Lepisosteus oculatus: one gene and its partners. The protein of the gene in region 1 interacts with the protein of each later gene in a pairwise test. Links are inferred from orthologs where the notes say so. Each region holds a gene or a part of one and is shown in the gene's direction. Other genes may lie near its edges.

What was found.
Region 2: the proteins of erlin1 (region 1) and agr1 interact in binary tests that used the Homo sapiens proteins (3 or more experiments, as listed by UniProt). The two-hybrid records come from large-scale screens. The link is inferred for Lepisosteus oculatus from reciprocal best matches to the Homo sapiens genes ERLIN1 and AGR3.
Region 3: the proteins of erlin1 (region 1) and fa2h interact in binary tests that used the Homo sapiens proteins (3 or more experiments, as listed by UniProt). The two-hybrid records come from large-scale screens. The link is inferred for Lepisosteus oculatus from reciprocal best matches to the Homo sapiens genes ERLIN1 and FA2H.

The regions. Positions count from the first base shown.
Region 1 is NC_090699.1:17,616,739-17,627,186, reverse strand, and holds the start of erlin1 (erlin-1), read left to right. Parts: upstream 1-5,934; 5' UTR 5,935-6,065; intron 6,066-8,860; 5' UTR 8,861-8,878; coding exon 8,879-8,991; intron 8,992-10,010; coding exon 10,011-10,092; intron 10,093-10,448. Other genes in the region: chuk (inhibitor of nuclear factor kappa-B kinase subunit alpha), read left to right, coding at 175-311, 472-571, 2,834-2,893. UniProt on the Homo sapiens protein: Component of the ERLIN1/ERLIN2 complex which mediates the endoplasmic reticulum-associated degradation (ERAD) of inositol 1,4,5-trisphosphate receptors (IP3Rs).
Region 2 is NC_090707.1:21,564,011-21,573,982, reverse strand, and holds the start of agr1 (anterior gradient 1), read left to right. Parts: upstream 1-5,679; 5' UTR 5,680-5,776; intron 5,777-7,070; 5' UTR 7,071-7,074; coding exon 7,075-7,174; intron 7,175-8,533; coding exon 8,534-8,597; intron 8,598-9,268; coding exon 9,269-9,321; intron 9,322-9,498; coding exon 9,499-9,575; intron 9,576-9,946; coding exon 9,947-9,972. Other genes in the region: traf3ip1 (TRAF3-interacting protein 1), read right to left, coding at 2,117-2,239. UniProt on the Homo sapiens protein: Required for calcium-mediated regulation of ciliary beat frequency and mucociliary clearance in the airway. Might be involved in the regulation of intracellular calcium in tracheal epithelial cells.
Region 3 is NC_090715.1:11,402,149-11,412,355, reverse strand, and holds the start of fa2h (fatty acid 2-hydroxylase), read left to right. Parts: upstream 1-5,914; 5' UTR 5,915-6,014; coding exon 6,015-6,290; intron 6,291-10,207. UniProt on the Homo sapiens protein: Catalyzes the hydroxylation of free fatty acids at the C-2 position to produce 2-hydroxy fatty acids, which are building blocks of sphingolipids and glycosphingolipids common in neural tissue and epidermis.

The DNA.
Region 1 (10,448 bases):
TTATAATTTAGTGTGAATAAATAATCTGTGATATTTTATTGATACCATATAATGTGTGCATGTAAACTAATAGGAGAAATTGTATCAAACATACAGTAATTAAAAGGCAGAAGAACAGATGTGGGAGAATATGTAAATGTTGCTCTTTGTTGTTTATTGCTGGTGTGTTCTCAGGCTCAGAATTCATCGCGAACCCTTATAAATCCAAGTCTGGAGGCGTCCAGCTCGCCACGGGTCTCAGCATGGACACAGCATGGGCAGCCCATCAGTTCACCAAATCCACTCACATCCTTACATGGACCAAATGACAGGTGCAGAACTTGGAAAAGAGAGAAACATGCTGTAGATTTATAAGTTGAGGAAAGAAAATGCTTATTCCGTTTTGTTCGCATATTTTGCAGCGAACCCCAGATCTTCTGTGCCTTGTGAATACACAGTCACAGATAATATCCTGTCTTCTGTCTCCAACAGTGACTCAGTGCCTCGCTTACTAGAAGAGAATCAGATGTATCTTAGCCAGCTGACGAGCCTGATGCAGGAAACCACTGAGGAGCAAGTGAAAAGTATAATGGTGAGTCCAGGTGGCAGGGAGAACTGGTCCATTTGTAGTAGGACAAGAATTTCCAATACATTGATTTGGTCCACAAGTATGTTCACATACAAGGAAAAGACCATGTCTGAGCACGTTCAGGCTGGGATTATTTTCAAAACATAAGGTACTATTATTATCTGAACTTTGCTTTTACTTTCTTCTCATAATGAACTGGGAAGGTGACTAAGAATGAAATAAATGAAGTGTGAAATATGACTTGTATGATCTTACAGGTTCTACTTCCTTGTTTTGGCAATGTTATCCTTAAAAGGTCCTGTAGCATAATCTTCCAACACCAACAGTAAAAAAAAAAAAAGTACAGGAATACCTCTTTATACAAGCTTTATTTGTTCCTCGAAAATGTCTTGTAGAGTGAAAACTCCTATAATGGAAGTGTTATAATCTGTGATTGGTTTCGGAACCCCAAAATGTTCACTCAGATGTCCAAATTTCACCCTAGTACTGCACAGGACAGTACCATACTATGAAAACTAATATTTTTGGTTAGTTATTCATGTAACATGCTTAAGTCATTGACCAGTGCATAAATAAAATGGGTAGAAAAATAATAACACTTACATTATTTATGTATAGTACATATATATAGTACAGTAGTTACATCTTTACAGTTAGTAGCAGATGCATTAGGTACTATTCAGTACTTTAATATATACTGTTACAGATGGGGGTTTAGAAAACTGATGAAAATCTCTAACAAGGTTTGAAGACTAAGTGACTTAGACTGACTTAGACCCAGTCAGGTTTGATTTGGATGATCAAGAAGAAGGGGCTCTCGCCTGGTGCAAGCTTCAAGTCCCAAATCTTCCAGACTCCTCCCTCTTCTCCCTGCTCTACTTGTTTCTTCCTTCTTCCTCCCTCTTGGTGATCTTATTGTGTTCTTATACTGTGTCTTTCTGCCATGCTCCTTTGCAGTCATTAAACCACAACTGGCCTAGGCATACTAAGATCAACTGTACTATTGTTTCTGTTCAAGGGACCCCCAGACCTCAGCAAGCATCCTCTCTGCTTTGAAGCTAGAAGTGTTTACTCTTCCCAGTGTCAAACTTTATCTAAAATCTAAGAGACATTTCTCGGTCACCCAAAGCTGTAACAATACTTAAAGCACACTCTCTCATCCTAGCGTTAATCCCGCATCAGCAGGGTCTGCTTGTCAGCACGCCCATCTCAATTTGGTGGTTTGAACCAAATCTTTGAGCTGACGTTGCCATTAAATGCGACCAAGAATACTCCAACCGGCGCGTCGCTCTGCCTGCCCTCGAAGTGTGGGGGGGGGGAGGAGAACAAAGTATTGTAGCCAATTCATAGAGGGGGATTATTAGGGGGAATATGACATTTGGCCAGGACGCCGGGGTTACACCCCTACTCTTTTCGAGAAACACCCTGGGATTTTTAATGACCACAGAGAGTCAGAACCTGTTTTATGTCTCATCCGAAAGACAGCGCTTATTTTACAGTATAGTGTCCCCGTCACTATACAGGGGCATTAGGACCCACATGGACCGCAGGGTGAGCCCCCCCTGCTGGCCTCACTGACACCTCTTCCAGCAGCAACCTTAGTTTTTCCCAGGAGGTCTCCCATCCAGGTACTGACCAGGCTCACACCTGCTGAGCTTCAGTGTGCTGCCAATTTTAAGTTGCAGGGTGACATGGCTGCTGGCGTTAACAATACTTAAAGCACATAAGCATTTATTATAAAAGTTAATATGTAATTAAAAATTAAAAAAAGTAAGTGAACAGAAGAATCTTGTTAATTGAAAAAAACAGGTAGGATTTACTACACCTTTTGTAACAAAAACCCATATAGTGGTTGCTCATATAGTGAGGGATTACTGTACTTAGTATTTCTTATGTTCCTGTTTTGTTTGATGTATACATTGACTTTGTTTTTGTTTCAGCAGGAAGCTGTGAATGATTTTAGATGCACAAACAAGCTCTAGAACATGTCTTACAAATACAGAGTGCTCAGCCTACTGTGCATCACATTCTTTCTCCACATTGGCTCTTTGCAGAGCTGCAGGGCAGAAGTCGTGCCTAGAAAAACAGGGTATTCAAATGGTAACAGAAACAAGTGTAACTTTTTTGGTGGGTGAAGGCTATAATACAGTATTTTCAGTTGGACTTTGGAGTGCCAGGGTTGTCTGTAACAATTCTTTAACCTTAATTTAAAACCTAAGGAGTGGAGATTTCCTTTTTCTTAAATTGTTTTTTTTATTATTTTAGGATCAAGATTGGAGCTGGACAAAATATGAAGCTCTGTCCATGAAAAGGACGAAAATGTAAACTTTTGCAGCAGTGTGGCTTTCAGACAAATGTTCTGACTTCCTCATCTGTTAACACTAATGGTATTTGTTTTGAAATCTGTTTACCAGCACTTCCCCCTTGTTATCAGAGCATAGTTTATTTCAGGCATGAGCTTCCCAGTCTCTCGGTTGTTTTGAAGCAAGATGATGTTCCTTTGTGGACGCTTGAACGTGCGTTCTGATGAGGTGCAGCAGAAAAGAGCAGTGCGCAGTACATCGTCAGTAATGGGCTTTATCTCCCCAAGCGTTTGCCTGAAGTCTGCTTGCACAAAGAGGTGTCAGAAAATTCTTCTTCCAAGCTGAAGATGTGATCTGACATCGTGTACTCTGTGCATTTTCGTTTCTGAACCGAACCACTATGAAGGACGGAATAAATATAAGCACGTAATGCAAAAAAAACTTTTCTCCTTGCTACCTTGTGCATTTTCTCATGGTTCCTTTTTAGAAAATAGTAGGACACTTATCAAAATTTACAGAATTAACAGAATCTGATTTTTGTGGGCCGCTTCAATTGGTGTTGGTGGGGGTGGGGAGGAATAATGCTGTAGTATCGTATTAAACAGTGAAATTTTTCATGATCTGAAAATGCACTTTAAAAGTTCACTGTGAACTTAAGTGGAGGATGTGTCTTTACCAGTGGAATAGTCACTGGAGTATTTTATTACCCCACATATAACTATAATTTCTTTACTGTCTGTAGTAGTTTTTTCAGATCTGTTTCTAGGCTTGTTTGTATCTCTGACTGCTTTTATAAGTCAAAAGTGGATTTAGGCAGTACATGACTTTCTCTTCAGGGAATGTTAAAGTAGACGTTTGTAGTCGCATATAATTGTGTGCACATACAGCTTTTAAAATTGCAATTGAATACTTATTTATTGGTCTGATTTCTAAGTAGTAGTTTGCTTCATATAGTCCTTCTATGGAATGACTGTCAGAACTGTCTTAAAACAGTCCTTCAGACAGAAGTAAAGGTTTTTCTTTACACCTGTATAGAACTGCACAGCTGACAAATCTTTATATAATCTTATTGCAGTGTTAGTGTTGAGGAATTCGTCTACTACGTAAACAGAATTTGACAGAAAACTGATTTTGTAAGATTTTCAGTTTGAAACTGGGTAAGGGAAAATGTTAACTTGCAGTATTTAGAAGATGAGCATTCATGAGAAACCGGACTTTAATGTGCCGTTCTGTAAAATTCAAGGGGAAAGAATTTGTAGATAATTATTTTTTCTTTTATTCTTCCACTTTTAAAGGCCATTTTTTCTTATAAGACACATCATCATTAGTTGTATTAATTTATTTGACATTTTTAAAAAGTGACTTATATTCATTCCTGTTTACACTGCTGGGCCTTTTACTGCAGCAATCTGAGTGAATTGCCTTTCTCAAGGATACAGCTAGCAGACATGATGATAAATTGATAATACTGGTAGTTTTAATCAATGGTCAGATTTCACTGTGGTATCTGAAACCTTACCTTAATCCTCACAGTTCAGAACAGTCTGCCTGTTAAATGCCCGGGCCATTTCAAGACTGTTTCAGGTCCTGCCACTGGGGGAGCTCCACCATTGCAGGGTTATGTTACCTCTGACATGTGTCCTGTAATTGTGAGCTCACAGATCTCTCTTGTGCTTGCTGAAATGCCTGTGAACAGTGTTTTCTGTTTGTTCCATTGTCAAACAGCAGTTGTGAAGCCTTACTATAACCATAAATGAAGCAGTGCCACCCAGAATTCAAAACGGTTCAACTCCAGGAGAGCTGTCAAGACCAAGTACATATTTTCACAGACTTCAAGTTTTGGAGTCATAAGCTGCAAGATTTACAAAGCAACTTCAGTTACTTTTAATATTTCTACATATTTGCTACTGAAAAGGACATGGAAGTGGAGTTTGCTCTTTGAAAGGAAATTTGCAGTTGTAAAAATAGTTTCTTATTGTAATGCAATGGACGTTTTTTTTGTTATTAGTCCATAAGATGCATCTTTTAGATGAATTTATGCTGCTTTGCTTTGAAGAGCTACACACCTGATAATGTGTAACATGTAATTTTATACTGTTTGGGAATTGTTAAATGATGGAATTGTACAGTTTTGAAAGTGTGTACACCAGTTTGATTGTAAATGTGTAAAAATGCATATTATTGTGATTAATTAAATATGTAATACCACAATTGCACCTGTAATGTGTTGATTTGGGTTTTAGTGCTCAGAATTATTATTTACTTTTATGAAAAGATTTACTACTGCATGCTGTGATGTTGAACTGCATTTTTTCCCCTTCCGGTCAAGTGAAGTTTTATACCTACTAAAAGCCTTCCGCCAAATTCATATTTGGATCCGCTGTCTCACAGCTTACATGCAACCCCCAGTTCTACAGTCCCTGGGCACAGACACCGGCTGGTTTGCCGATACCCTTCCACACACACATTCCCGGGGAACCTGCCTCCGGGCGAACACAAACGCGCAAGGCAGATGGGTTGCCTGCCCGTTCTTGCATCTTCACAGAAGTCATTTCTGTTTTGCTGTGACATCTTTTCTGTTACCTTTAGTAAATCATTTTCCGGAAACCTACACATTCAGAACCAGCCCCTCCTGCACATGTAGTTCGGTGAAATACGTCCCTGTGTGAACTTTTTTTTTTTAAATCCGTGCCAAGACAAATACCGCTCTGCGCTTATCTCGCTGCTCTTGGCGTTGTACCTTCACCTTTTCTCGATGAACTAATATCTTCCGATTTAAAGGCATTGTCTTCCAGAAACACTCCTGGGGGGGGGACTTTTATTTTTCCCGGGCGCTAACCCGCAGATGTTTTGCCCTCATCCCGTTTCAAAAACGGGTGTTCGGTTCGGAGTGCGATTAGGTCACGAAATGCCAACCGTCGAGCAATCAATCACCCGTACCATTTGACAGCTGTTGAGTCACCGAAAATCGGTAAGACCTGGTTAAGCGCAAAATCCGTCGGCATACTTGCAAAGGCAGGCAGGCAGGCCGGCCTCTCCCCTCCCCTTTAACGGGCGGTGCACTCTTCACCCGGAAGAGAAGCGGCGCTGGAGCTGCGAGTCGAGTCCATTGCTGCAGTGAGTCCTGCGGGGGGGATGGACAGGGAGGATTTCGCTCATAACCGACTTGTCAGAAGAGACTGTTTGAAAGCTTGGTGAGCAGAGTGCATTGGGATTTTTTTTAAATTAATTTAACGTGTGCAATCCATTACTCATTATGGTAATCCGTCATGGAGTTTTTTTTTTTCCTCCCTGTTTGCTACACGCCGTGCAACTGGCTGAATCCGCACTGGTTCGTGGGCTCGGGAGTTGGAGAGCTCGATTGCATCGAAAAACTTCGCTGAAATAACGTGTTGCGGGTTTAATCGAGGAACGGACACGGGCAGAGGGGCGGCGTTCGTGCTTGTGGCCGCTAGTCCCGAGTCCGGAGTGGCGGTCTTGTTACTGCAGACAGTAGCAAGATCCTGGGGCGATAAGCCACTGTGGCTTGTGGGAAAGATCCGGTCATGTTGTAACTCGTGTTTTTTCTCCGTTTCTGAATGTGTATATTTGTCTCCATACAACTGGAATTGTGCAGGAGGTATCGATTTAGGTAGCCCTTCACGAAAACGAACATGTACTATACGGCAAGCAAAAAAAATCATGTTGGACACGATTTCCAGTTTAACGTCATTCCCTCCGACTAAAGATCACGTTTTACACTGACAGTAAATCGTTAGAGCGCCTGAAGTTGCTTTTGAGCATTACCTCAAACTATAAACTGAAAGTTTAAATATACATCTGAAAGTGCCTTTATATTTAAAAAAAAAGGAGCAGACAAGAACATTAGGAACACATCTAGGCTAAACTGAGTTCATGTGTGCTCCTTGTGGATTTGAGGCGCAAGAGCACGGTGTTTGCTCACGGGAGACGAGGAAGGCAGGGTAATCCACTGGATGGGCTTAAGCAAGGTTGTTATACTTGGAAAGAGCAACCAAAACAAAGGTTTAGTTCAAGGACGGCAAATCTGAAGAGGCCCAGTTTGTGTTTGCTAAAAGAATGTGAGATGTTTCCCGGACAGAATGGAGAGTTTCGTCTGTTTCTTGAGAGAAGCCATACTCCCACACCAGGCTTCTGTGTGAAAAAGCGCTTCTGTTCTCAGTTATATTGCACTTCCCCATAGTTTCTACTTGAATCCAGTGGTTCGCTTTTCACTGATACGTTTTTTAAAAAAAAAACAAGTTCTTATTTAAACACCATAATGAAATAGATACAGAAATAAACACTTCAAAGCCAGAAGAATTCACAATTGTAAAAACTTAAAATTATACTTTTTACATATTTCCATTGTATGCCTTGCCTTTTGATTCTTTAAATTTCTAATAGAATTTAAATAAAAAAAGGAATTCAACTTTAAAGGCATGGATAGGTTTTCACTGATAAGTCTGGAGAATTCCGCTGGGACTTTGAGGATTTCGAATATTTGTTCCGAGTACCTGTGCAATATTCTCTTTTCACATTTCATTTCATTTTCACACATTTCATTTAGTGTTGAGTTCCAAAGGTGGTATTTGAGTCAGTCTGAAAAGCTGAAGTTCAGCCACCCTATGCTTTTGATGCACTTTACAGATCTGAAACCTGTCTTGTTTCTTATGCCTGTATAGATGCAGTAACATACTGCTCAACCTGGAGATTCAGTGGGTGTTTGTGATGCACTGTGTGAACTCACTAGGTTGTGCATTCTCGGTGTTGGTATAAGACATCATTTGCAGTACATGTGGATCTTGGTTTCGTGGGCTTGTCAGTTATCAGGGGGCGTGACTGCAGCTGAGCCCACAGTACAGCCTAGCCTGCTCTGGGGACACCTGCTTCTTGCTGTGGAATGTGTCACAGCTGTGGGCTGGGTGGAAGGGATCAGCTGTCTCACACTGGAACCGACCTGCCCGCCATGGAACATGATCTGTTCAGCACTGGTTTAAACCTCTTCGGGCCTGTAGTGGTCTGGAGCATTCCTGTAAACCTCTTTCAGTATGCGTCATTCCCAGAGAACTTGTTACCTTCCTGCACCTCAGTGTGAAACCTGTTTTTCCCTTGTTCTGAAATGAAATGTGTCACAGTACTGTATATACATGTTCTACTTCTGAGCAGTTATTGTACCCAAGGCTGCCGCTATGACTCTTGAACATCTTGGTTAAGGTAGGTGGTACCTTCTATGAGCTGTGTAAAAAGAAAATCACTCTTAAGGACTTATAGAGACCTGGCCCAAGTGTAGTATTACTGAATTCCTCTCTCATTTTATCAGTGTTTTAATTAAGCATGCTTAAACAGTCTAGCTTAAGCCTGGTTTATGCGGTCTTTATACGTAAATACTTGGCAAGAGTGTTTTTATCACTCTTGATCACACTGTCAGCTCTTTAGGGTATGTGTTGGTCCTCAACCTTCCCAGTATTTAAAGTGCAATCAGTTTTACGTCTTCAAATTGAGCACATTAAAATGGCTTCAGGACATGTATTATTCCATCCACAGAGTTCTGCTTTACTGTAATCTCCTGTCTTAAATGTGTTGTTTAAGATGTGAAGACAAGCAGGAATTAATTTCTTACTCAAGCTGTAGAGATTAGGGGGAGTAGGTTGTTAGTTTCAGTTAAGGATATGATGGAATTCACTTTGGTGTCTTTGGGAACCCCTTTATGTCACAACATTATTAAACCTGGAAACAGCCAGGTTTACCCCTAACTTAACTCAATATGTTAACCTCCCCTATTTCATTTTGAAAAAATGCACATTGAAGTTGGTGCTTGCCAGCTCATGCTCTCTTGTTCACATTTCCCCACACGACGTCTTCAGTATTTCACACGGGCAACACTGCCTTCTACGTTTGTCACAAGGCACAGTCGAGAGAGAGAGAGAGAGAGAGGGAGATTTGTGAAAGGCTTTGCAGTGCAACGCGTCTGCTCTGTGTCCCTGCCCAGATCGTGGCGGGAGCGGGGATGGCGATGGCACATGTCGGGGCTGTAGTCGCTGCTGTGACGGGCGTGCTGGCTGTCCTGCTGCACTCCTCTATCCACAAGATCGAAGAGGGACACCTGGCTGTGTACTACAGGTACGTCCCGTGTCTCGGCCCGCCGTTTCAGCCTCCCCAGTGACGCGAGCTGGAAGGAAACGTGTGGTGCGCTGGATCGCACGTGTCCGACGGCAGTATGCAAAAAGGAATGAGAAAAGATAAACAACACCCATGCAAATGTTTTTACGAAAAAAAGACGGGTATAGGCGAGCGTTTGTGCACGAAGCACTTCTCTTTTATAGGGAAGTGTGATCTGGCGTTACAGTGTGAAGGAGATTCAGCGTTTGTTTCAACATCCTTTCCTGAAGCAGGCTGTTGGCCTCGCAGGGGCCTTGCCCTGAGCATCCCTGGTGTGGTTGAGGTTCATTCAAGGTGTGTGCACTTTCCCTTTAGTCTTCTAAAGCTTCAGTTGTGTTTTCTTATAAAGAAATTGAACCTGTGAAGAAATTAGATGTCGGTCTTGTGACTTGTGTTTACGGTGTTCCTCATTCACAGTGGAAACAGCCCTGTGGGTATGTTCTGGGGTGGCTTTGCTGTTTGTGAGCTCCGCTGACATTTACCGATTTTCCTTAACCCATTCGGTCCCGCTTTCTGATTTCGCCCCAAAGCCCCGCCTGTGAGCGATGTCAGATTAAGATTAAAATCACTTTATTGGCCATATACAATTTTTTGCATTAGGAATTCGTCTTTTTGCATACCCCAGCTTGCTCTCCATGAGACACACAGACAGGGAGAGAAGCTTTGAGGTCAGAGTGCAGAGTCGGCCATTGTACAGCGCCCCTGAAGCAGTTGGGGTTAAGGGCCTTGCTCAGGGGCCCAATGAAGTAGGATTCATTCCTCTGCCGGCTGTGGGATTTGAACCGGCAACCTTCCAGCCACAGGCGCAGATCCTTAGCCACAGAGCCACCGCTCCGCCCGCTTAGAAGCTCACGTGAAATAAAGGGCTTTGTGCGTTTTAAAATCACCTCTAACTTAAACCTCTGAGAGCAGACACCGGAGGAGCCGTTGCTCCATGAAGGCTGGTGACGGAGACGTTTCGCTTGCGGTCTCTGTTTCAGAGGTGGGGCCCTGCTGACGGTCCCCAACGGTCCTGGCTATCACATCATGCTGCCGTTCATCACGACGTTCCGGAGCGTGCAGGTCAGTTCCTCGCCGGCCTGTGACTCCCCTGCTGCTACAGCGCCCCCTCAGGGGCTCACTGTAGGCCTGGGGGAGGGAGGGAGGAGGAATCTCAGGGAAACGTTTGTCTCGGCGAACGCGTGTGACGCACAGCGACCGGCGGCGACCGAAGGCGGAGCGGCCTCGGAGTTGTTTGCCGGAGGATGAAGGGAAACGGCGGGAGGGTCCTGCCGGCAGTGACAGCTGTCCCCTGTGGACCCGCCGCTGCTGCCGAACTGAGTCACGCAGCCCAGCTGTGCTCTCGCTGTGGTCCTAGAGCCACTCCCACGGGCGCACAGAGGTCCCTCTTCGTAAAGTTTTACCGCATCGTTGTTTTT
Region 2 (9,972 bases), on another chromosome or scaffold:
GTCTAATATACGTTATATGTTATACTCTTGGCAGATCAATAATCTCCTTCTTCCCACTTAACGTATGCTGCATACAATGTCATTCCTAATTTTTTAAGTTCTTCATACAAGCTCAGCCTCCCAGGATAATCTTAGCTGGGCCTTGCTTCAATCTGCTATTTTTAAGACGAGTCATCTGGCTTTACTTCTATCACGCAACAAAGCAACTCTTTGAACAGGCTCTCTGAATCCCCTGCTCATGTAATTTTTCAATAATTAAAATATTCCGCAATTAACATCACTGATTTTGTTTCTCAAATTCAAACAATGATAGGGTCACTGTTCCACATTGTGAAACAGAGCAAAAAATAGCAAAGAGTTTCAGGAAGACATTTGTGATCATTTAACGATGAATGATGATGATTTGAAGACCTTAATGATTGGCAAGATGCTAATTATTCATAAATATGAAGACACCACAAGTCGCGTATTAACCTGTGAACATTTTAGAATTAGCCATGGTAATACAACAGTAGCACAGTTTTACCATGACGTACTACCAAAGCAGACTTAATATTATCACGACCATAAACTTGATGAACAATGATACAAAAACAGAGAGAGCAGCAAATATAGACACAGTAGCAAAAGAAATACGAAGAGACAAAATCATGGGGTAAACAGATACACAGCAAATCAAATTTAAAATAAGTGCAGTTATTCACACTGCTACAGTAATAGGATCGTATACTACATACTGTATATCATACAGGTGAACTGTCGGGAGCTACACATGAAGGGGTTTTTAATGTAGACACTTCTAAGCAATGACTTAATAAAACAAAGTTGATAAAACAATAAAAAAGCAAATTGAATCCTTGGTTTTATATTAAAAAGTGCAGAATTTAAGAAAATATCTACTTATTTTTTTTAAATGCACTACAAGGACCTCACTTTACAATTGCATTTAGTTTTTAAAGTCTTTCTAAGAATAATTCCTACAATCAGGGCTTTATTATACAATAATGTAGGGAGCAGAGATTGAGAGAAGATGCAATTATAAAATGCTGTATATAAAATGTCAAGGGTTAAGCCAGGAAATTCTTTCTCAGTATTAAAATAAGGACACAGGGAATTCATTGAGAATGGAAAACAAGAAACACTTCTTAACACAAATGTTGTTGGCTTGTGGAACAACCTTTTCAGGTTAAGGTTAAAATATTGAGCGCTTTTAAGAAACAGCTAGACATAAGAAAAGTTACAAACGATATAAGTCCTTCTGGTTCATCTAACCCATTTGCTAATTAAAGAATTAATTCATTCAAGGATTTATCTAGCCATTTCTTGAAAGATGTAAAGGGTAAAAGCATTAATCTCTGTACAGATGTTGCTCCTAATAAAATAATGCTTTGCTAGACCAAATTGTTTGAATTATCAGTAATAATTATATACTGGATTTGAGCGACACAAAGTAAAATAATCGTTTTGCTAACACCTCAGTAATATTAATTAGCGACACTGGCACAATAAAACAGCACAAATTATTTAGCTACCATTTTCATGACACAGCAGGACAGCGATTAATGTAATGTGTCCTCTGTGGGGACACATTACGGGATTAAAACCAACTGCTATGGAACAGAAAACTTTTTTTTTAAATAAAGGGTAGCGTGACGGAATCAAACACCGGGCAGAAAATGATGAGGTATATTTGTATTTTACGGTCCTGTATTTAAATAACTCATCAAGGCCTCGCATTGTTTAGTGTACTTGAGCAGAGACCAGTGCCTAGCAACCAGAAGACGCCAGTTCGATTCTACATCATTCAGACAGTTCAGGTGTTCACCGCATACCCTTTACAGCATTTACACTGAAACCGACTATTGTCCGTTTTTTAAAAAAATACAGTTATTTAGGTTACATCAGAGAACTTAACTGCATTTTTTAAATTTTCTGCAGCTGAGCCTTTACTACTCTTTATTCCTGAACAGCCTCACCCCAAACTTAGTCCCACTGAAATGCACTACTCCGAAACAAACACACACAGACCAGAGAAACTCCTCCTTGCAAACAAGCCACGGATATTTCAACAAATCCAATTTTTCCCGTTGTCAGTCATTGCAGTTCTGTTTCTCACCTCGGTGAATATATCATGCAGGTAGCGGAACGGCGGTTTACTAAGCAGTTTTTCAGTAAGAGGCGGCTTCTTAATCACTTTTCCCAAGGTATCTTGGGTCTTCTTGGTCACTGACGCGTTCATAGCAGCAGCAAAGCAAGACAAACGCCAAAACAAAAGTCCTTTAGGTGAAGACGAACCGAAAGAAACACTTCACCACATAAATTCTGCAATCACTGGGCTTTCAGTACGTCGGTATCTTCCGATCCCACAATGCATCGCTAAACCTAGCTGCGCCTGCGCAAGTGACGTATGGTTGTCAAGCGAGGCTTGCATCCTTAGCAACAAGTAACAACTGAAATGCAAAGAATTCCAAAGGCTCTTAGAATTGGATCGTTTGAGGTCCTTTTCTAAAAACCAAAATATCTGCAGGGCATTTATAGCTGAAAAATTAATTAAATGTTCATGGTTTATTTCATTCTTATTTTTAAGTTATTGCTATTGATCAATGTTTTAACACTGTTTTAATTCAATTATTACTAGAACGTTTCACTGAATTTACAGTAATGGAAAGTTAATGAACAACTAAAGCTGTTAGCACTGACAAAATCCCTGTATGAGTTTGAACTTGATCTTTATATGTTCTTGTGCCAAATAAGTTATCAAGAATTCCTGATGAGGAAAAAAAATCAACACCCCTTAATCTGAGTTATAGACATCATTTGAATTTTTACCATATGGGATAAGAGTTTTTGTTATTCATGTAGCAAAAATCCTTATATAAAATGTACTGTAGGAGATTAATAACAGAAAAGGAAATAAAACCAAGTTTGAAGTAAATAATTCTAAAGTAAAATAATTGCTCTAGCACTAACACAAAGCCATAGTTTTTTGTACCTTTATCTAAAATTAGGAAGTATAGATAAACTGTAACCTAAAGGTGTCTGTGAAGAATGAGATGGAAAATAAGGAAACCATTTTTAAAACTTGAAACTTGTTTGCATTTTTCTTTCAAAACATTTTAAAAACTAATCAATCAATCAATCAATTACCCCCATCTAATTAATGAGTTTGCATGTTTGTAAAGGAAATTTATATAGAAGAAAGCTTAAACAATATCAAGTTAAAATCTATAATCTAAAAAGTCCCATATATAATGTATAAAAATGATTGACGCATTAATTGTCCAGTATAGAATATGTATTTCAAGTTCTAATATTTTGTTCTGTATTCTTTCTTTTGTGAAAACCTTAGTATTAGTAGCTAAAAAAAGCTTTTATAGAAAAATATACTGCAACTATAACCACAATTATATAGAATTAGAATCACCTTGGTTTTTTTTCTCATTTGCTTTGTTAACCAACATTTAAAAAAACATAACTTAACAGTTCATAATTACACATTGGATATTTATCTCTCCCCATTTAACTCTAACAAAACTGTGCTTTTTACAAGAGCAATCTTTACAGATTAAACTTCTTCATGTTCTCTAGATTCCATCAATGGAAACATTACTCCAATTTCTCTACACAAAATCTTCAATAACCCCTCAAGCAATTTATGTAAACTACTTTGAAAGTAAGCAGCACATCACCATTAATGTGCTTTAATGCAGAGATCCTGCAGCCACTCCTAACTTTAAACATAAGAGTTTCTTAAGGTAGTAACAAGGATATACCCTGAAACAGGAATGTCTGGTGAACCATTTAGTTTATCTTTCACTTTTAAGATGATTAAGTGTGGAAGCTTGTTTGTTCTTCTGTACGGGGATCCAGGAAGTTAGAAATCTTCATAACTAGATTATTGCTTTTACTGATCCCATATAATTTTTAAATTCATTTTCATATGAATAAAGAATACTTAACACCTACTGTAATATCAGAAGTAAAATCTAGAATGAACGCTTTATAAAGTATTGTGGATCTCGGAAAACATCATTTTTCATTAAATAAAGTGCCTAATTCATAATAACTGTGAAGTGAGATGGCTGCATAAAAATTAACACTTTTATGTACAGGGGCTGTTTGCGCATAGGGGCAGCAAAGTGTCACCCAGGTGGGTGGTGCAGGTCAGTGATGGATGAAGTGGGCCCCTTCTCTGTGAAAAGCACTCGGGATTTCTTGGAAGGAAAAGGTCTATGCCAATTTAAGCACATGTTGTTATTATTAAGTTTAAATTGATTAGAAAATAGTTAAACCCTGTGAAAGACACAGTGATAAAAATGTTCATTCATAGCATATAGTTTATAATACTACTTAGTAAATTGTTTCAATAAAAGAACATACAGTAGGTGAATATAGTTGAATAGGTCTTTATCAGGTGTGCGTCAAGATGACTTGGTTGGACACACCCAAGGGAACAGATGAAAAGCGTGCTTACAGTTGGGGAGCTTGCTATAGCTGATGTGCACATCTCTGAGTGGTTAGGGTATACTAAGCAATTAAGGTCTTGTTGCATTCAGGGGATTATGAAACACACCGTTTTCTTCGTGAAATGTGTACTTTTTGTTCTATTTGCTGTACATTTTCTTTCTTTTTTGTTTAATGCTTTTTCTGAAAAAGATTTATGGTTTCTGAAACTGTGTACCACTAAGTAGCACTGTGTTTTGTCTAGGCGTGCTTTCAATCACATAACAGGATGGGAATATGGAAAAAATGCTGGGTTATGAAGTACTGTATATAATGATATTTTTGTTTTTAAAATAATAAATTACAAAAAAACGAATGCCAAAAGATCACTAGCTTGTTAACACAAGGACGTCAGGAATAAAAAAAAGTGAGAAATAGAAATAGTGGAATCAGTTAATAAACAGAAGCACGTTGATTGCTTTTTCTCTCTCTTTCATGCCAAAATTGAATAAAAGTGAAATGATTTAATAAAAAGTTAATCAATAACATACCTTAAAACCAGGTATTGATTTTTAAAAAATCTTAGCTACAAAAGGACAATAATTCCATAAAAAAAGTAAAACATATACTACAGAGTGAGTCTCATCTTGTACTTTGGTGCTGTACCAAGATGTACTTTAATACAGGTCTTCAAGCATAAAATTCAGAAGTATTGTTATTGTGGTTCATGAAAATTTCTAGTATCTTGTTTGTGTCATCATATTTTGCTTCTTAAATGTAGATGAATAATGAGAAAAAAACATTGAATAAATTATTGTTTTTAATAAAAAAGTAAGTCACTAAATACATTGATAGTTAGATCTTTCTCATTAATTTTCCTGAATACCTGAATGCCAAAGATGTAATTTAATTTCAGCGTTCAAAACTAGGTTCAAAACATAGATTCATTCCCTGTGGTTTCCTACAACCACAGGTAGGTTTAAAATGAGTGGTACTTAAAAAATTTAATTTAGATTAAAAGATTGAATCATTTCTGTTAAAAAAATACAGAACAGTAAAAATATATTATGAAGAAGCCTTTCTCCACCTATGATTAAAATCAATGGGATTAAAATTGGGTTTAAAGGTGCAGTATAAGCATTTATGTACTGTAAGTACTTCCCTACCCTGAGGCGTGTTTGAATAGTGTGTTTCAAAGATAAGGATATCCTGGTTTGTTATGCCTGACGTTCAAGCTTTGCTACACCTGTTAGATGAGTTAGATGACTATAAAAAGAAGGCTTGTGAGGTAAGAATTCAACGAACATTCACTCACATTTCAAGACAGCAACAGGTAAGAACGAAACTTGGCTCTTTCGTACTGTATCTAGGTGATTGAAAAAGTTCAATCTTTGAAACAGATTTATCTGCTTGGTAAATATTCTTGTAGAATACTTAAAAGCAGTATTACTCATCTCTAGTCAACCAGGATTATCATAGAATTGGTTTTACAAATATATTTGACTAATTGTCAGCATTAGATATAGCAAAAAAATAAATAAATAAGTGATTAATAATAATAATTGAGTAAAGAAGGGAATTATTAAATTGAAGAAGAGTTAAACTTAATAAATAACAGCTCTTTGTAATCCCCACAAACTGGAGACAAGTGTTCTAAATCAAGCTAGTCCACATGAGATAAAGAAACCATCACTAATTCAGAATTTTGCTGTGACATTCCCCCAGGAAAGTAATTCTATATTTGCTATACAGTAGCTGTCAAAACGTCAGTATAGAAAAATATAAACCAACCCTATTGGAAACCAAAACAGAAACAAATAGATGGAAAACATTAGAGGGTGGACAGATCTGATGTAAAGGGGAAACATGCAACTTAAGGACATTTTTTACTTTTCTCAAATACTGTTGTGTCATTCTATTATATGAGATCAATTATAACAAAACGAAAACTAAAGTATTACATTTGTAAAACGCTCACACTTTGTGCTAGAAATACAGTAGGAAGAGATTCTCTCTTAAAACAATTGTGTTGAATCTCCTCCTAGAACAGGTTAGTCCTGAAACAGGAATGCTAAAAGACAAGATTGTGGAAGTGCAAGCAGTATTACATGGGACTGATATTTCTGATGTCTTTAAAATTCTGAAATATATGCTTCAAAAGGGTTTCAAGGGCTTAGGCAATTTGATGATTCATTGATATCTGGTTCAAGTGTTATAAGACAAACTCGGGAGCATCTTTAAAATGTAATGGTACACAACAAAGGTTAAAATACTGTATGAAAGGCAGGATTATAATCTATATTATTTAAAGTGGAAAGTTTTGTATTTGAAATCAAACTCATTTTTATACAGTAGTTTTAAGTACAAGTATATATAGCACTAAAATCTAAAGTATCATTTCAAAGTAAAATGGGTGTGTTAATAATTGAAATCTTGATTCAAAATCCAAACAGAATTATTTCAGAAGACATCTAGAAAAAAACTAGAATGCATCTACTGTACATGTACATCACGAAATTGTTTCGACTGTGCCATAAACAGAGACCATTAAATGCTGCTAATTGTGAAATTTTAAAATGTTGAAAAAGAAATAGTACATGTATTAATAGTAGATCTGTCTTTTTCAGAACTATGAGTCGCTCCTCTGTTCTTTGTATCCTGCTTGTTGTAGCAAGTCTGGATGTATCTGCTCAAAGAAAAGCAAAAAAGGTCCCTCAGACCCTTTCCAGGGGTAAGTACAGCTCTTCTAACATTGTGAAATACAAATCTTGGATAGTGTGAATAATTAGGGTTTGGAATCCCAGGCAAAATCGAAACTCCGTGCATTCAAATGGGTGGGGTCTAAGTACACAAAAGTAGTCAGACAAGGAGAGAAAAAACCATACTGCTCTTTTATTTTTTGTTTACAGACAGGCACTGTGTTTTCTGACCAAGCAAAGGCAAAACAAAAGCTTGAATCTTTCTTTGGCCCTCTGACTACAGTCTTCCACTCCTTTGCTATCAATAGTATTAATAATAACCATTTCTTTACTGGTAATGGTATAATTCCTGGGCCTTTTCAGGTAGTTTTCCCTGGTTTCTTTATCTTCTCTGAATTAATTCTGTGATTTTGTAATGTACCTCTTTGCCTCTACAGAATTTCAAAGAATAGAACTGTGGTGTTGCTCCAGACATGACACAGCTAACAGATACATGTTAGTTGTGTCTGTTTCCCTACACTGTTACTTGAGGGCCAAAACTGGAAATAACTGCAAATTAAAAATATATTTGTCACAATATCATGTGCTTGCTTGCCTTATTCTACTAATTTGTGGGTTACAGTCAGGCCCTACGAGAGGGGGAGCCAGCAGGGCCATTTGGCCCAGGCCTCGCCTCACAGGGGGGCCTCACCTCAGCCAAGGGTGCATGGTCCTCCACTTGAACCCTTTGGCTGTGTTTCTTGACTTGAGTCAAATTTGGAACTTTTACCATATGCTGTGATTCCCGACTAAAGTCCATGGCTGTGACAAAATGCCCCCCTTTCAGTGCTGAATATACCATTCTTTAGGAGTTTCAAAATGCCCACCTTAATCTTCCCATCATGCCATTCTTTACCCCTCTTCCCAAACAACGAGGGGGCCTCACAATGTGAAATGGCCCAGGCCTCATCTGAGCTCTCGGAAGGCCTGGTTACAGTTTAGGAATTGCAATTATTGTCATGACTACAGCATGGATTTTGGTTAGAGCCCTGGTCACATAACTGGAAGGTTGTGGATCTCAAATCATGGTTAGGGTGCTGCTGTAATACCTTGTAACAAGGTCCTTCACTCAGATTGCTCTTTAAATGTGAGTTTGCAAAGGTGAGTTTGCTTTGGATAAAGATTTCAAATGCCAAATAAACTAATTAATAAGGTAATTGTATCCAGTGTGTACTCTGGATATTAGTGTTTACCCCAGGAAAGCCTCATTAGACCTGGGGCCATACTTGAGCCACACACACCTTCATTTTTCTAGTTTTGTCTACAGAACCTTTATAACAAAACTATTTGTAACTGATATATTCCTATTCCCATTATTAATAATAATGATCAATTTCTGTGTGATATTTTAGGATGGGGAGATGACATTACCTGGACCCAAACCTATGAGGAAGCTTTAGCAAAATCTAGAACAAGGTAAGGTTTATTATCCTCTACACTTTATGGATAGATTTCCAAAGCTAATGCTCATTCACATTTAAATAACCAGTCCTAGCAAACTCTTAAGGTTATACCTTCCCAGTAGGTGTGTCAAAACAATACGCATTAAAGCTTTGCAATTTGTATATCTTCAGGGCTGCATTGCATGTGTTACCTATCCTCATATTAAAAACCCTTTGTTGGAAATTCATACTTCACTGATACAATTATAAGCAGGCAAGACGTACATGAGAAATGATCAGTTTAAAATTTGGGCAGTAGGGTGGTGCAGTGGTCAGCATTGGTGCCTCACAGTGCTGGGGCCTTGGGTTCAATTCTTGGGGTGCTATCTGTGTGGAGATTGTATGTTCATCTTGTGATTGCATGGGTTTCCTCTGGGTGCTGTGGTTCCCTCCAACACTTCAAAACCACACTACACGGGTTAATTGGTTTCTGTGAAAATTGGTCCTGGTGAGTGTGTTTGAGTCTGTATGTTTTTCCTCACTGGTATCCTGTCCAATGTGTATTCCTGCCTTGCACCTGTTGTTTGCTTGGATAGGCTTCGGCGCCTCTGTGTCTCTGTATTGGATAAAATGGTTAAGACAATGGATGGAAGTTTCAATATACTTCTTGTATAGAGATCATTGTTGAAATCTTTATTTTTTCAGTCAGAAGCCCTTGATGGTTATCCACCACCTAGAAGACTGCCCGCACAGTCAAGGTATATATGTGTATTCTTAAAAATACTAGATTAAATTAAAAGTTCTTCATTGGATCTTTCCTCATGAAAAAAATATTATTTGCATAAGAAGATTTAAATGATGTCATAGTCATCATGTCTTCCATTTTTTATTATTCTCTATGTATTTATATATATCTATCCCTTTGTATGTCTAAGCTCTTAAAAAGGTGTTTGCTGCTGACACTGAGCTGCAGAAAATGGCCCAAGAAGACTTTGTAATGCTTAATCTGGTGGTAAGTTGGAGACAATTATTAGCCAGTAACTTTAATCAATTAATCCCGTTAAGAATGATTATTGTCTTCATTAACAGTGGTGAAAGACTTTCAGATTTTTAGTATCAGATTTTCTGTATCATCCTACATACTATGGTGGCACTGAAGTCATTCAATGTGAATATCTGCAGTTCAATTTTATTTGTCCCTCTACTTTGGAAAGCTTTACCAGTACAATTTATTTGTTTTGAATAATAGAGATTTTATTGATTTGTAATTAAGAAATTAGTCATGTTTTGTTTTTAACTATTCATTTGTCTGGAATATTTTTTTAGAGTTTTGTATCTAAGAGTATATATCTCAGACTGAATACTTAATATAACGATCCACAGCATGAAACCATAGACAAGAATCTGGC
Region 3 (10,207 bases), on another chromosome or scaffold:
CCTTCTGAATTTATTTTCTGCGGCAGGAAAATGAACAAAACTAACTTGTGTTAACCTGATTGTACATAACATTGGCTAAGGAACAATCTGGTTACTTTTCTTTGATCTTTTTTCCAGTACAGTACAACCAGATTATCCAGGATTGAAGGACACACTGGAAATTATGCACAGGTACAGTTAAAACAGGGGAGTGCTGTATTTACAATAGCAGTTATTTTTTTCCATATAACACTAATTCTGGAGAGCCTCAGTCCAGCAGGTTTTAGGTTCCGTGCACTTGGAGAAAGGTGTTAAAGCTCTCTTGTTCTAATACTTAACGTAATGACTTAGTCAAGATTTGGGATGGTATGAAATCCTGCAGAAACTGCGGCCCTCCAGGGTAACACTGGAGCCCCCGGTACAGCAATACTTCCGTACTGCAGCGTTAAGGCTGTTCGTGCAGTTGCTCTTTCAGGAAACTTTCAGGCATGATGAGATTTACGGCATGGATTTCAAATCAGCCGCAGGATCCAGGAGGTAAACGACTCCTGGACATAATACATGTTTAGGTGAGGATTGCTTTAGTGCATCAGCTGAGTCATCCTCGACTCAGGACGTGGGCGTCACAAAACTGTGTACAGTTTTTAAAAATAATTTCGCAGTTAAAGCGAAATACCCACATGCTTTCTCCAGACGAAGCTTCAATACAGTGAATGCGACATGTCCACAAGGTGGCACTGCTACATTTCCTAAAAGAAACTTTTTTTTTTTAATCGTCATTCTGAAACGCTTGTGCAACACGTCAGGTAAATAATATCAGTTTCATTTCATGTCTTTCAAATTGTGCAGTCAGTACAGTGTCATTAATCCTTATTAGATGATTACACGAACGAAACTAAACACCATACAATGAGCACAGGAAGACAAACAAATCAGAAAATGCCACCCGACCCGATAAAAGACCTGCACACAGCCAGAATACAACAGAAAGAATGAGAACAGTCCACTGTGGTGTTTCACGCCCTTTCAATTGATTTTCATTCTGATCTTGCAAGGATTACAGTTATGGCTAAAACTGTGTCTACAACAATAATATTTATTATGGTGCAAAAATATTCTGATTCACACAGCCTAGCAAAGAGAGATACCACAGAATAAGGAAATTGACAGAGTGCTAGCACGTGAATTTAGGGTACTGTATATTATGAACACAAGGAGAACGGCAAACAACCAATAAAAAGCATTGTGACAAACCCGTAGAGACACAAGCAATGAAAACTCTGTGATTTCAAATGTTAAATTGGTAGGACTTGCAGTTGTTTGTGTACAATTGCACCACAGATGTCTAAGAAATTAGATAACTCTAATTTAATACTCATCTGCTTGTCAAAATAAGAGGTCTGACCAAGAATTTTAGCATTTTGTTATTAATGGGGTAGCAGCTGTCCTGGACAAACTACCCAGCCATGTTGTTGAAACTGGTCTAATATTGGAATTCAATGTTTTTTCTGAAACTGGTATCCAGTTGTACAATAACACATATTAAATCTAATTATACAGGTACTATCACATTTAACACTGGAGTTAAATGTGCAGTTTTAAGTGCTCCTAGTCAGCCAGGTTTAATAAGAGTGAAATATTTATCATTTAATCTAATTGAACATTGGTTTCTTGGAACACATTAATTCATATTGAATTAAATCAAATTTGTATTATTTATTTTCTTACTATTTATTTATTTTACTTGTACCTTCAAGAGAAAAAAAAAGTGGTGTTTAAAATAAGCCCACTAACGTGCTTTCTTTTCTACCTCAACATATTTCGCTCAAGATTTTGTTTTTGTTGTCTTTAGGAAGCCTGGTCTTTTGGTTCGGAAGCTCCTACAGTTGCGCAGTTAGGATTGAGGGTTTTTGGTCTGGGGTTAATTTTGTGGCTTGTCATTTCATTCATGTTAGTTTTTTGCACACAGCATGACTGCCTTTTCTGGTTTCACTGCTGTAGTGCATCACACGTCCCGATTCTTCTTGATCTGAACATGAGAATTGAATGCATCTGGACACACTTACTTCATCCACAGCTCTTGTTCAGTATTACCACTGCTCTGTGTAAGAGCCTGAAGAGCTTTCAGCCTCTGTCCTGTGGTTTCACATCTTCATGTGTTTCACTGGCTGAAATGGATGATGTGTCGATTGTGGTTTCTGTATTGCTTTTCCCATGAGATCACATTCTGTACAAATTAAAGAACCTCCCATGTTCTTTCACACAGGCTCCCCGTCTGAGATGCTGGCTTTTCTTATGCGAGATATTGATTGTTAGGGGAGTGGATATTCCATGCATTTCTGTTTTTAAGTTTCCTTTTCGTTTGCAATTCTCTTTTTGCCGCAATGAATAAAAATGCCTTAAAGAGGAGCTTCCTCTTGGCCAGGAAATCACTCAGATCATCTTGTGATCGGCTTGCAGGCCAGGCCCCCTTCCACAGAACAGCTATGTGCAAGGCCTGCGCGTGCGCAAGTGTCTCTGGCTGTGTGCATGAACGAGCTGTGACCCAAGCCAAGCATCTGCTGGGGAAACCGCTGCGTGTCATCCAGGCCAATTCTGCACCTGGTGGCTGAAGTGAGTCCCTGCATATTTTTGAACTGCTTTGTGATCTCTAGGGATGAAAGGTGGTGCAGTATAAAAAATGAAAGGAATTTATATTATCCACGAAGAACAGAGAAGAAATGGATTAACTGATGCAAGAATGTCGCTGTGGGCTCCTGCTCTTTCAGTAGGCAGAGCCAGAAAGGAAGCTGAGATCAGAAGATCTGGCATGTGATCAAATTACTGGTGTAGGAATGAGCAGTTTAGGTTAATGGGACTTTCCAGTTGAGCCTGTTAGAAACCGTAAACATCTGAAATGAAGGAGAAGTAACCGTGTGAAGCAGTCAGACTATTAAACTAAACCAGGTCTACTTTAATTGAATGTTTCATAGCAAGACCTTTAAATAATTCCCAAACCAAATACACTGACAAACTTTTGACAAGAAACAACACCATGACACCACTTCAGAGACTCCAAGGAAGAGTATGTTCACGAAAGCAAAATGTTTTTGAAAGCAAAAATGTTTTCTGAGAAGTCTGGTTATTGATGTTTGGAAAGCTGAACTCAGGAAATCCTCTCCCACAGACTTAAATGAAAGAAGAGGTTGGGGGGTGTTCAAAATCCTGTTGATGCAAATGAAGTGAAATTTTAACATGCAGGAAGTATTTTTAGGTAACTGAGGGTCATGAATGATAATATGCGTAACAGAAATTTGAAAAACCAAAATAGCACACCAACGTTCAATATTTTAAGACAGGGTTTCAGATCTGGCATGAGTCATGGGTGCCTGTTGACTTCTTTTATTTTGGAAAATTAAGTAGGACACTAAGCAGCACAGTGCTGTAGTGGTTAACATGGCTGCCTTGTAGCCCTGGGGCCCTGGGGTGCTATCTTGGTGGAGTTTGTACTGTATGTTCTTCCTGTATTTTTGTGGGTTTGCTCTGGGTGCCCCAGTTTCCTCCTACAGTCGAAGTACTGGTAGGTTAATTGGTTTCTGGAAAACTGAGCCCTGGCATGAATGTGTATGTGTTTGAGTCTGTGTGTGCCTTCGACGGAGTGGCGTCCAGTCCAGCGTGTATCCTGCTTTGTGCCCTTTGCCTGCTGGGATAGTCTCTAGCTCCCCTGTGACCCTGTATTGGATAAGGCAGTGGGTGGATGGTCATATACAAGACTGGCAGAAACAAACTTTTCTTTAGGGTCTGAAGGCAAAAGCTTTTATTATACTTCCCTTTGACTTTTACCCTTTATAAAAATATACTAGTAGGGCTGTCCAGTCCTGGCCCAGTGAGCCTCTACAGGTTTTTATTTCACGTCAGTTCTTAACAGGCTAAATCTGCTTGTTATTGGGTTAATTGGGCCCATTTAATAACTTCCATGAGCCCTTCAGGTACTGATGATCACTATAAGACGTAAAACAACTTGCAGATACAGGGTTTTTCCATGTATGGGTTTTAAAACATCAACAAACATCTGCAAATTCTTCCTGATTAAGACATGGATTGATCCCATTAACAAGACAGGGGTCTACAACCCTGCTACTTGAGAGCTGTAACCCAGCTCTAGTCTTCTATGTTACCAGTTTCTAACAATTGGCAACACCTGTAAGGCATTCATGAAATAAGCGACTCATGTATTCAATTAAGAGTGCTTTAATCCTAGAGGCCCTGCCGGAAAGCGCTCCGGCTCCAGGATCCAGGTAGTCCAGTCCGGGGTTGGAGAGCCCAGCTCTGAACAACCGAAAGGCAGCGCTCGACTCCAGTTTCACCAACAAAGGGCTTCGCTCCAGGCGGACGATGAATATTTAATGAAGCTAAAAGTTCTCATGCTAAATTCACGGTTATTAATTTAGCCATGAATAATTTATAAACAAAGCACGGGAATGAGACAGGACAGTGCAACGAAATGCGGGGGCAAACAGGCAAACAAATCTTTCTACCCCTGTCCCGTCCGCCCCAACGAAAATATCATATTAGTCCTGAAGCCGTCAGATGTCACAAGAGCTGTCTAATTTCGGTCACCTGTCAGTTTCGAGGTCGGGATATTCTTGGCTGTTTCTGGCCGCTCTACACAAGTCGGATACACGTGAATGCTGTGCTCACCTGCTTGATCTCATCTCGCCCTTTCCAGTTTCGCTAAACCTGAAATATGAAAAACTCTACAGATGCTTTCGCAACAGTTGCCTTGATTTCGCCACAGGATACAAACCATGGGCTTTCTCAAACTCTCTATCCCCTCAGCTATTCCCTCTTCACGCCTCACAACCGCGAACTGAAATCATGCCAAAACACAGTCCGTGATACACGTCCGATAAACTATGCATTCATGTTTCCGTTTAGGACTTTATTCGAAATAGAATTAATGCAGAGGAAGACCAGGACATATTTCTACATCATCCGTGTGCCTTTTCACCTCCTCTCCACCTTGGTTCCGAATAACTCGCGGAGCAACATTTTGACACCGTGATCTCATCGCAAACCCCCCGATTTTCAAAGCTGCGTCACTACCATGAGTGGGACGGGTCCTGAGCGTCCGCTCCACCTGTCTGTGCACGGAGCTCCTCTTCGGAGATACTCGGTCAATGTTTCAAAGGAAGTAGAGGCGGTTGACGGGGTTGCACGTCTCATTGTCGTAACATGTGTCGCGCACGATGTCTTAAACACGAAGGTTGTACAGTATTTCTAGGTAGACGAAACGCGTCTAGCTCCGGCAGCAGCTGCGCTGGAGTCTGATAGTTGTGTTACAGGTGGTTTTAACACACTACACGCCCTGTTCTATCACTGGTTTTTCATAATGCGCTAGTCAGTCACATCCCCTGTGCACTTTCTTTCTTGATAAACGCTTTTTATAGCCAGCTTGTCCAGCTTTTAGAGCAGTCCTTCGTGCCAATTAAGCCAGTCTCATGCGGCACACACAGAGCACCATGCTGCACCGGACTGACGGAAAGAAAAAACACAGAAAAGCGACCGAGTCACAGACAGCAGCAGCATTTGGGGGGCTCGGCGCATGTGAGAGATAGTCAGTGGGCCGTGAAACACTGTTCTACAGCTTAAGAGCTGAAGAGCAACGTAGCAAAAAATCACAGGAAGTTCATCGCTTCCTGTGTACGTGTGCTTTTTGTTTAATGGAAACGGCGAGATTGGGTCTGGAAACCTCAAGTCTCTGGTAGTCACAGGCGAGATTTCGTTTTGAAATTTCTGTTCGTTATTTTGTCGCCCAGGTAGGCGGCAAGCCGGGCGGAGCCGTGCCAGCAGCAGGTGTCTGCTGAATTATTCATGCCCAGGTCGGGCTGGGGCCAGGAGTCAGGTGTGCGCTGCATATTCATGAGCATGTTAATGAGCAGGTGGGTGTCTGGGGCAGCGCGGCAGGGAGCGCAGAGTCAGTGAAGCTGGTCAGTCTGCTCGGAGCTCCGCTTTTTTTACCCCAGACGGTCAGTTTTCAGCTTTCCCAGAGCCCCATGTCCTCGCCTGCGCCGGTTCGGTATTTCTCGGAGTCGGAGGTGTCCCAGCACCGCTCCCCCAGCTCCTGTTGGGTGCTGTTGGCCAACAGGGTCTACGATGTGACTGGTTTCCTCAGAAGGCACCCTGGCGGGGAAGCTCTGATTTTAAGCCGAGCGGGGACCGATGTCAGCCGACAGATGGAAGGACCTCCTCACCGGCACTCAGAAAACGCCAGGCGGTGGATGGAGCAGTATTACATCGGGGAACTGCGCAAAGACCCTGGGGACACGCAGGTACGCAAGCCACCAGCTGTTAATTTCATCAGCTCTTTCGGTCTAGAGGGCGTTTATTTAATTTACCATTACTTCGTAATAAAACGTAATTAACCAAATCGGGAAGTCTTGCGACCAGGCTGCGGCGCCAGTCAAGTCAGAGCCGACGATATCGAAACACCGCTGCGGCTCCTTGAAACTCAAATTTAACGGAATTTGGACAGACTTTTAATTTTTTTTTTTGACGCCGGTGCCAGTAACCTCCTGTCCAGATGAACTTTGTATGAAAAAGGCAAACCGGGCACGTTAGTTCCCACACCCACGCCGCAACTTACAGCCAAATAACCCATCTGCCAAAACGGAAAGCATGGAGAGCCAGCCCCCCTCTCTGTCGCCTGCAGGTGCGATGTGGTTAGCAAACCCTGCACAAAAAGTGGCGGTTTTCAACACCACCTTATGGCCAGGGGTCTGGGAGAGCTCCCAGGGACTGGGTGTGAGTTTCCCGGCCGCCGGCAGCTCGGCCATGGTCCGGCACAAGTGGTTTACTTTCTCCGCTGCCGAGAGTCGCTAGCAGGGGAACGGGCCAGTGTGTCTGGGCGTGTCCTACCTGCGCAACTCGTATCGCAGGTACGCGAAACAGGATAATAACTAGGAAATAGTTTCGGGGCGAAGTACGCATCTGAGCTCAGCGGGTCTGGGAAGCTCTAACCAATATGCGAGGTCTTCAAGGCAACAGCGCTTGACTTAAAAACGAAACCCATGCCCGTGTTATCTCCTTTATTGGACATTACAGAATGTGTTCTAACGTATCGTTTTCGTGTACCTTTTATTTGCAGTATATACTTTAGATCGCGCCTGTTTGTAACTGCTTGGATTGCTCTATCGGTGTTGCGTTATTAAATCCAAAAATGTAGCAAATGAACAGTGACTGATAGCAGCCTCTAGTTAAAGCATGTGAATGCTGTTAAAATTATCAAAATGCTCAGCGGTGATGACCATCATAGCACAATGGTTCATGTGGCATGGATCAATCAGTTGCTTAAGCAGGGAGACTTAACATGCTTTCTAGATATGCTGGTTGAGTGAAACCTGTAGGACTCTAGGACCAGGTGTGCAGAACTCTGGACATGGTCACAGTGTGGTTAGCCCTTAGCACCTTTTACTAAGGGAGAAACATAGCAATTTTCTTTAGCCAAATAGAGTGATCTAAATATCCATTTACAGGTCAACAGTGCCAGTACTCCTCTCCCCTTTACATTCTACTGCTGTCTTCCACTGAGTACTTGCATGCCTGTGAGCATTAACTGTCGATCCAGTAGTAGCGTTGTGCTTGCGAAAAACGTAGTAGGAATGCACAGTATGAGTAGTGTTGTCTAGTCTTGGTTCTTGGTTGCAGGGTTTCATTCCAGCTCAGATCTGAAGCTAAATTGACGTATTGGCTAAATTGGACAAAATTAACAACTGCACTCTTTAAAAGCTTCATGTAGACGTGATGCAAGGTTTTCATGTATCTCTGTGAATCTCAGCCCCCGATGAGGACATAACATGTATTTAAATATCCAGTGCGTCACTGGAATTGAAATGGAGAAATGCTCAGATTTCTTTAGCAATGTTTGATATTGAATCATGCTATGCTGAGCAGACTGAAGATAAGCCCAGCTTTGATTTCTAGGCATTGTGTTCAGTTACCATTAGTGACTGTTTCTATGAATGACCTGCCTACACAAACCTTGTTTGACCCTAGTTTTGGGAGAGGTCAGTATTTCTGTGGCATTTTTAGAACAAAGTGGTCCTGTTATCAATGGACAAACCAATTTACTTGATATGCGTTTTGTATCCTGAGTAGGGGATGACTAACTCCGTCATTCTGAAGACCATATCTGAATTACTGTTTAGATTGCCTACGTTACCACCCCAACTAAAACCCCATGTTTTCAACATACAGTATTCTCATCTTAACAGAGTGGTATGTCATGAAACCTCATTTGGTCCTCCTGCTCCTTAACTTAGTCAAACATTACTGGACCAATTTTTGCTGTGTCCTTTCATTCATAACAGCTGCATTAATATCTTCGGTAGCTTCTTTACCAAAGTAAGCACAGTTTATTTTTACAGATGTGAGCTAAATTCTTCAAATGTGTAAAAGGCTTTTTTCTCTTTTTTTTTTGTCACGTTAAATTGGGACTACTGGGCTAGTCTCATCCCTGATTCCTTCTGCTCTAGATTTAGTTCTGCATCACAACAGTCTTGGGTTTGTTTTGACTGTTTGAGCTCTTCTTTTTTGAAGTGTTAGATTCAGTTGAGTGGAAGAGTGACCCCCCTAGAGAAAGAAACTGACGGGTGGTTACGGGAGGTGTGGAAAGATGAGATCTTTTCCCTGGACCAGTCCACATTGATAGAGATCGCTGCTCGGAAGTGTGATCCGCTGTGCTCTCCTCTGCCAAAACCATCCTCCGCCAGGTTACCATCATTCTCAGTCTTGTGTTTATTTCCTACAAACTACTTCTTGCAGATATCCTGCCTTCATACGGCTATCTGCAAAATGAACTATGGTAATGTTGAACATCAGAGGCTATCATTAAGATTACTTGGTAAGGGGTGATTTTGGTGTAGCTGTTTGTAAATAGGCCATGTACTCAGGCCAGTGTCATCAGATAAACCTTTGGACTGTGCACTTTCCTGGAGTTTGGCACATTTTGGCCATTCTGGTCAGTATATGTCATGGTTTTTCATCTGTCTGTGGAAATCAATAATCAGACCTTGTATCGATTTTTGGAAAACATTATTTAAGTTATTGGTATACTGTTGTTGACATTTTTGCTGGTGGAACTAGCATAAACCACATTCATATAATATCATTTTGTGACCTCCTAGAGGACTTTCAACACAGTAGACTCTGTTTCCTCAGTGTGTGAGACAGTATTTCACTGGACTGGCGTTGTTTCACTTCTTAACACTGCCCCAGCAACTTTTCCTGCTGGTCTGGATAACCTTTTAATGTGTCTGACATAAATACGCAAATGTCACCTTCAGATAACTGTGCCTTTAAAGCACCAGCCTGCCCTGCTGGTGTATTCAAGCCTAGGTTAAAACTCATTAAAGAATGCTTTATCAAAATTTACCTTCCATTAATTTACACATTAATGCAGTATCAGTGTGCAAATGTCACCATGTGCAGCTAAACACAACTTCATTTATGGCTGACTTCTTAAAATGTATTTTTGTTTCTGCAATATATTTTGAGTCATTTTTAGCTAATTTCCCCTTCCCAATTTGCAGAAGCTGCAGTAGCTGATGTATGTAAATTTTGAGGGCCTAGTTAGTGGACAGCCAGTTTCTCTATCAGAGCAGTAGATTTTTGTAGGGCCTGCATCAATTTAATTGTCTGAACTCCTCCTGTGTCTTTTCAGAAACTCTTAGCTGATTGTCCCCTTGTAATGCAGATTCCTATGAGGAATTTAGTGTCTTTTTATCTGTTTGTCCTTCAGGTCATTCTTCCTGTCACTATTCAGTTAAACATTTAGACTGTTAGTAGGTGTTAGGCCAATGTGTTGCACAACAGACAAGAGAAAGAAGCACGCTTCACTTATCGTTTTCCCACATTTTCTGAAAAAATTAAGTATTTCATACTGCAGTGAGTGTATTTGGCTGAAAATGTATTGGGCAGTGAATTAAGTGGAAAAGGAAATTTTTACTACTGTTTCAAAACTGCACTTTCCCCAACCCTTTTTAATAAAACTCCTTCAACTACAGTTATTCGTTTAAAACCTTTAAATGGTTTTGAGCTCTTGAGCAGGGGATATCTTCTATTTGTTTTGTGAAATGTTGTAGATCACTCGAGATCTAGAACTCCTCAAGAGCTGGAAAGGAAAAGCAGCTCTTTTAAAGCAGAAATGAGCACAGTCAAGTAACTGAGGGCTGAGCTGTAATATAAGTAA